Macaca fascicularis: one gene and its partner. The protein of the gene in region 1 interacts with the protein of each later gene in a biochemical or structural test. Links are inferred from orthologs where the notes say so. Each region holds a gene or a part of one and is shown on either strand. Other genes may lie near its edges. The genes, in order: KLHL20 and DAPK1.

Evidence for each region.
Region 2: the proteins of KLHL20 (region 1) and DAPK1 are reported together in a solved structure, tested with the Homo sapiens proteins (2 studies listed by BioGRID and IntAct, with this or other methods). The link is inferred for Macaca fascicularis from reciprocal best matches to the Homo sapiens genes KLHL20 and DAPK1.

What each region holds. Positions count from the first base shown.
Region 1 is NC_088375.1:31,337,289-31,341,109, reverse strand, and holds part of KLHL20 (kelch-like protein 20), read right to left. Parts: intron 3,544-3,821; coding exon 3,385-3,543; intron 2,113-3,384; coding exon 2,018-2,112; intron 1-2,017. UniProt on the Homo sapiens protein: Substrate-specific adapter of a BCR (BTB-CUL3-RBX1) E3 ubiquitin-protein ligase complex involved in interferon response and anterograde Golgi to endosome transport.
Region 2 is NC_088389.1:118,065,093-118,068,913, forward strand, and holds part of DAPK1 (death-associated protein kinase 1), read left to right. Parts: intron 1-1,904; coding exon 1,905-2,034; intron 2,035-2,200; coding exon 2,201-2,249; intron 2,250-2,339; coding exon 2,340-2,366; intron 2,367-2,853; coding exon 2,854-3,006; intron 3,007-3,357; coding exon 3,358-3,403; intron 3,404-3,821. UniProt on the Homo sapiens protein: Calcium/calmodulin-dependent serine/threonine kinase involved in multiple cellular signaling pathways that trigger cell survival, apoptosis, and autophagy.

The DNA of each region.
Region 1 (3,821 bases):
AATTTGATTACTCACACTGCAGAGTTACTACTTTTTAATAAATTTTATTAGATTCTGCAAGATATTAGCAAGGTAGCACATCAGCCAGGGCAAGAGTTATTTGCTAAATTAGTTAAAGTAATAAAATGGGGTCAAAAATCAGATTGCTAAAAAGAACCACTGTACTGTCACAAATTCACTATCTGGTAACATATGAATGGTTTACTCTCAACAAGTCTACTGAGACAAATTTCCTGTCTTGTTAAGATACTTTAAGAGAAGAATCTAGTAATTACACTTGTAATTACTTTGCCATGGCTCACGCCTGTAATCCCAACACTTTCGGAAGCTGAGGGGCGGGTGGATCACGAGGTCAAGAGATCAAGACCATCCTGGCCAATATGGTGAAACCATGTCTAAAATACAAAAAGTAAAATACAAAAAGTAGCCAGGCATGGTAGCGCACACCTGTAGTCCCAGCTACTCGGGAGGCTGAGGCAGGAGAATAGCTTGATCTTGGGAGGCGGAGGTTGCAGTGAGCCGAGATTGTGCCACTGCACTCCAGCCTGGCAACGGAGTGAGACTCCGTCTCAAAAAAAAAAAAAAAAAAAAAAAGACTTTGACCTCCTAATAGTTTGTTAGGTCATTTGAGGGTTCCTAGAAATAATACTATAGAGTTATAATATTGAGCAAACCAACACAAAATTAATGGTAGCAACAAGACTTACAGCTATACGCTAGTCATGGTTTTAAGTGCTTAATATATATAAACTCATTTAATCTTCAAAACAGCCTTATGGAATAGGCACTATTATCATCCTCACTTTATAGAGGAAGAAACTGCAGCACAAAGAAGTTAGGATATCAGGAAGGGTCTTCTTTTAAATGTGACTTCGTAAGTACCTTTACTTTCTGCATCAGAATCAGTACAATCTGATTTACGTTTAATGGAGGAGGGCATCTATGTATTATTTCTTCAGATTTCAGCATGTATAATGTATATGGTTTTCCTTTTTGCTACTGCAAATATTTAGGGAGAATTAATTACCATTTGTCTGTGTTTTAAATATAAAAGACAAATATCTAGTTTAACTCTAGTCCACGGTAAAGGGAAAAACAATGATTAATATAAAAAAGATATAATAAAATAAAATAGAAACATCTAAAATCCCCTCCAGCCTCTCCTGTTAAAAGAACAGGCTTTAGTTTATAGAAGAAATGTAAGTGAATCTACATGTCCTACCACCATTCTAAAATCAGGGATCATTCTAAATGTCTTTAATCACCAAGGGAGGTCCAAAGGTCAGTGTAGTTTAAAAAGTTCTGAGTATGGATTTTCTCTTTCACTTTTATATTTGGGACATGCTGGGAAAAATGGTTAAAAATCGCAGATTTCAGATTTGAACCTAAATCTTAAAATCTGTCAAATTGGGAATGTAATTTATTACATTTTGTATATACTTTAGAGACAGCCTAGTAAAACAGGTTGCCTTTTTTCCCCCCCTTTGTAAAAGTAGTTGGAGTTTCTTTTGTCAAAAAAATTCTGGAAACTGCTTCACCTAGTTCTAGTGAAAATCTTTCTACAGCTATTTTAGAAGGTGGCAGATCTTTAACTCTGTCCACAATTTAGAAAGCAAGGCTGATTCTATTCCCCAACCAGACATATGTGATGGAAGGAAAAAATGTTCACTGACAGAGTCAACATTTTCAATTATCTCAAGGAAAAAAAAAATATTAGCAGAGAATTGACTCTTCAAATTCAAGCCTGCATCAGAATCTTGGAAATCTACCTCTTTATTGCCACTTCTACACCAATAAGCACCACACATAAAAAACTAACGGAATGGAACACTGGAAGTTTAGTTCTCTCTTCTTCCTTTTCCTCCTCTTGACCCTAGCTCAGAAGAAAGTCTTGTTAAATTAATGCCCTGATTTCAGCTCTACAAAATACAACATTTAGGAAGCAATATAAATAAAGAAATTAGGAAGAAATAGGAATGCTTAGTTGTTGATTTTTCCCATCCAGGGTCACTCATACCTGCATTCTTCATCACTTTTGATGAGGGGATCAGAGCCTACTGTGCCCACGAGGAACTTGGGACTAAGCAAAGGCAAACGAACATGCTGCAGCACCTATGAGAAAATAAACACCATTATTTTAATTAATTAATTTTGAGATAGGTCTTACTTTGTTGCCCAGGCTGGAGTGTAGTGGTGTGATCATGGGTCACTGCAGCCTCAACCTCCTGGGCTCAAGTGATCTGCCTACCTCAGCCTCCAGAGTAGCTGCAACTACAGGTACATGCCACCATGCCCAGTGAATTTTTGTATTTTTTTTTTTTGTAGAAACAGGGAATCACCATGCCGCCCAGGCTGGTCTCAAACACCTGAGCTTAAGCAATCTGCCTGCCTTATCCTCCCAAGTGCTGGGATTATGGGCTTGCACCACTGCACCCAACGAATAACACTATTAAAGGCATGAGCTCTCATCTATAAGATATTTAAGAGAATACATGACCCATGGCACCCTACTGTGCTTCCAGCTGTTTTGGGATCTCACTGAATACCATAAATAAGGAAGGCGGGAAGGCGTAACTACTAAAAATGTTCAGCAATACATTATAAGCTGGACTCAAATTAATTCACAATCCGGAAGAATATCTTGTTGAATTGCTAAAGACTATAGTCACAATAACGAGAATGGGTCTGAAGTGAACTACTGATCGCTCAGTGACGACTGATGCATCATCTCTTTACTCTTGAAAGTGTGGTACTATTTCCAAGTTATATTGAAGGAAAACTGTGGTAGGATTTTCAAGCTATAGAAAAGAAGCATCCTTGCTTTCTTTTGTTCATTTTCTACAATTTAAGTTTTGAATTGTGCTATCATTCAAAAGTAGAAATATGGAGAAAGCAAAGGAACAAAAAGCCCACATTAATAAGCAACCAAAATGCTTCTAAATACTTATTTCCTTGATTATTTGGAAACAGATGGACTTTCTTACAGACAAATGTAGAGTGATAACTGTTTTATGTTTGCATGACAATACATATTATCTCATCTAGTACTAAGTAGTTTCTTTTTTTTTTTGAGACGGAGTCTCGCTCTGTCGCCAAGCTGGAGTGCAGTGGGGTGCAATCTCGGCTCACTGCAATCCCCGCCTCCTGGGTTCAAGCGATTCTCCTGCCTCAGGCTCCCAAGTAGCTGGGACTACAGGCGCCCACCACCACGCCCAGCTAATTTTTGTATTTTTAGTAGAGACGGGGTTTCACCATGTTGGCCAGGATGGTCTTGATCTCTTGACCTTGTGATCCACCTGCCTCGGCCTCCCAAAGTGATGGGATTACAGGCATAAGCCACCGCGCCTGGCCAGTAGTTTCTTAGAGAAGCATTTTTATCATTACCTGGGGTAACTGAGGACGTCTTTCCTGAATACTGTATTTGACCCAGGCCATCACTGCATTGAACACTTGTTCTTCACTGCGAACGTTTAGTTCATCACTGGATATTATATCAATGAGTTGATTGGCTGGAAGCAACATGAACTCTTCACTCTCCATTACCTGTTCAAAGTTAGGTAAGAAGAAAAAAAAAATCCTGTGATCACATTTATTGTCTCAATGTTTTTCTTCAGGGTTATGGGACAAAGCTGTATTCCACAATGCACTGAAGTTTAAAACGATACCAGAGGAAAAGAAAAACTTATAAAGAGAACAAAGGAAGGTACAGAAGACACCATTAAAGTTTAGTAAAAATAATCATTTGTGATTCAAGCAAATTAGGAAAAATGACTTAAAAAATAAATGATCAAAATAAAAATTTATATTCAAAATAAGCGAAA
Region 2 (3,821 bases), on another chromosome or scaffold:
ATCAGCAAGCATAGAATACATGCCTCCCACTGGGATGGCAAACTTTTCTGTGGGATAGAGGCTTAATGATAATTGATTACATTCTGGAATTCTTGGTAAAGAATACAAGGGGTCTTAGGAACCAGGTTTTTTAGTAAGGGGGCTGCTCTTGGCTACTGGGACATTAGCCAGCAGCCAGTGACTGGCACCGGTTCCTTCTGTGGCTCTGGGCAGGTTAAGATAGAAAATGTGTTGAGTGATGCAAAGGCTTGTGGCCTGACTCTGTCACCAATAAGCAAGCAAACCAAACTCAGATTGGCTAATTGGGGCATTTGCCTGGCTGGATGCAGGACGTAGTTGGAGATGAAACGGCGTGTAAGCCGTCCTCCCAGCCATGACAGAGGTGTGGTCTCTTTGGGAAGGGAAGACACAACAGGAGCAACAGGAAGTGGCAATGGTGAGAAGCTCCAGTTCAAGGCAGCGAGAAGTGGTCTGGTAAAGCAGTGTGCGCTCTGTCAGAGGAGATGATTCAGACCCGTAGAGCTGGGACAGGATTTCAGAGGAGGGAGGATTGTCCCCATTCTTTTTGTAGCAGAGCTGTCAGTGTCCCATTCATGTCCCCCCGGCCCCACAAACATGTGAAAAGACACACACTCGTATACAACCTAAAAGAGGGCTTGCTGCAAATACCTGTGACTCTTTCTGGCATCTTGTTTGTGGCCCTGGGAGCTGGAAATGCAAAAGAAAAATTTCCACAGAAGCAGCTGTCAGCCTTGGAGGATGGAGAGATGGAGAGATAAAGACCCCAGCTCCCTCATGCTACAATTGGAATAACACCGAGTTCTCCTTTTCGTCTCCCATTCCCCTAGTTACCCCCACCTTGATAGGACACTTCATAGCAGCTTCCTTCTGTTTCCCGTATCTCCTTCCCCTACCAAGTGTTTCCTGGTGTCCCCTCCTTGTCTCAAGCCTGCTTCAGGGAGAACCTAGAGCAAGACATGTATTTCCTTCTTGAAATAAGAAGATATACCCTATGAATTCTGTACAAAGCTGGCTTGCAGATTTTTTCTCGTCATTAGAGTTAAGACATCACCTCTACATACGTTTAATTAAAATGTTTTAAAGATACACTGACATTTTCTTCACAATGTTTTGTCTCTGCCCCTCCTCTCATTGGTGAACACAGAACCTTAGGAAAATGGTTCTGTGTATACTCTTTCCTGGTGTACTCTTTCAACCACCCTGCTATACTCTTTCCTGGTGTACTCTTTCAACCACCCTGCTATACTCTTTCCTGGTGTACTCTTTCAACCACCCTGCTATACTCTTTCCTGGTGTACTCTTTCAACCACCCTGCTATACTCTTTCCTGGTGTACTCTTTCAACCACCCTGGTATACTCTTTTCCTGGTGTACTCTTTCAACCACCCTGCTATACTCTTTCCTGGTGTACTCTTTCAACCACCCTGCTATACTCTTTCCTGGTGTACTCTTTCAACCACCCTGCTATACTCTTTCCTGGTGTACTCTTTCAACCACCCTGCTATACTCTTTCCTGGTGTACTCTTTCAACCACCCTGGTATACTCTTTCCTGGTGTACTCTTTCAACCACCCTGCTATACTCTTTCCTGGTGTACTCTTTCAACCACCCTGCTATACTCTTTCCTGGTGTACTCTTTCAACCACCCTGCTATACTCTTTCCTGGTGTACTCTTTCAACCACCCTGCTATACTCTTTCCTGGTGTACTCTTTCAACCACCCTGGTATACTCTTTTCCTGGTGTACTCTTTCAACCACCCTTTCTTCCCTAATTTTTGGCCTTTTTTTTTTTTTTCTCCTTTTGGGGGTGGGAAGAGAAGAACTGTTCTGCCATCTTGTCCTCAGCATAACGTATCATAGCTTTTTATTTCTCTCTTTTTTCAAGCCTGAGAACATAATGCTTTTGGATAGAAATGTCCCCAAACCTCGGATCAAGATCATTGACTTTGGGTTGGCCCATAAAATTGACTTTGGCAATGAATTTAAAAACATATTTGGGACTCCAGAGTTTGTCGGTAAGTTCCTTTGCTCCTGTGGTCATTTACATCTCATAAACATTATTCTGGCAAACCTCCCCTGCTGGAAGATTCTTTCCCCGTTCCATGTTCCTGGTTGTTGCATGAAGATAGAATTGGTTAGTTTGCTTCCTCCCAAGCTAAATGAGTGTTTGTTTCCTCTTAGCTCCTGAGATAGTCAACTATGAACCTCTTGGTCTTGAGGCAGATATGTGGTAAGGAGTATGTCCTTGGTGTTGTTTTCTTTCTGATTTATTTGACTATTCTCCTGATGTGTTCTTTTGTTTGTTTTGTGTTGTTTTTAGGAGTATCGGGGTAATAACCTATATCCTGTAAGTACCAGAATTCACAACTCATACTCTCTTCTCTTCTATGAGACCATAGGTTTAATTAACCATTAAATGTGCTGTGTTGATCTCTTCAGCTTATGCATGCTTTTGATGTAAACATATTCATTTTACACCCCCAAAACATGTTTAGTTTATACTAATTAAACGTGTTCTCCTAATTTGAAATGAGTCATCAGAAACTGTAGCATAATCACTGAAAGAAAGCATAGCTGTCCATCACTGCCGAGAAAACAGGTTTCCTGTAAACTACCAGATGCTGTTCCAAATTAACTTGTTAAGTGAATCCTTTTGCACGAAGCTGAAGCTTTTGGTCCTGACAGTTAAAGCCCTATGAAATATAATCAAACTCTCAAGTGATTATTCAAGCACCAGATTATAATCTTATTCCACACTCCAGATGTTATAGGAGCAAAATGACAACACCAAGGGGTCATCATTAATGTTCTGTGCCCAACTTTATTTTTAACAGCCTAAGTGGGGCTTCCCCATTTCTTGGAGACACTAAGCAAGAAACGTTAGCAAATGTGTCCGCTGTCAACTATGAATTTGAGGATGAATACTTCAGTAATACCAGTGCCCTAGCCAAAGATTTCATAAGAAGACTTCTGGTCAAGGATCCAAAGTGAGTGTCCATGTTCCTGAAAGGTGCTTGGCCACGGCCTCAGCCAGCCCAGAGCCTGTGCCTGTTCCATACACAGGGCCGCGTTTCTCAGACCCTGCTTGCTTCATCTGCCAAAGGGCAGCATGCCGTGTGAAGCGCTTCAGAAAATGCAAGCAGGGCCCTCTGCCCCCGCTCAGTCGGTCCCTGCAGGCACAGTGAAATAATCACAAAAAGACCGATGTCGTTTTTGGCTTTCTTCCCTGAACTGCATTTTCCAGAGTGTCTGCTCGGCAGGCCCAGCCAGCAGGAAAACAACCTTAGTATTTGCTGCTATGGTCACAGCATTTTTTCCTTTCTCCCCCTCCCCTCAAGGAAGAGAATGACAATTCAAGATAGTTTGCAGCATCCCTGGATCAAGGTGAGTTGCATATTACTTCACTGTTTAGATCACCTTCTGTGTGATTGGTTTGGGCACCCTGGTATTCGTGTGTCTTAGAGTACTGCTAACCTCAGGTCACACCTGGAGTGTTAAGTTTGCTATTTGCATCATATTTTAAGAAAATCCTAATAATCCCAGAGGTGGGGAAAGAGGAATAAGCCAGCACAGAGCAGGATTGTAAAAGGTCAAGCCCACTCAACAACTATGTTTGGAGTGACGTGTGGGGTGTTGGCCCAAACAGTATATTTAAAATTTTATGTTGATTCCAGCATGTAAATATCAATCAAATCTGGATTTCCAGCTTCTCTTGGGAAATCTGAAGATCTGCTGACACTGAGCCCTCATTCCACATGGCCTTGGGAAGTGGCACAGGCACCTTGGTGCTGGGGAACAGGGT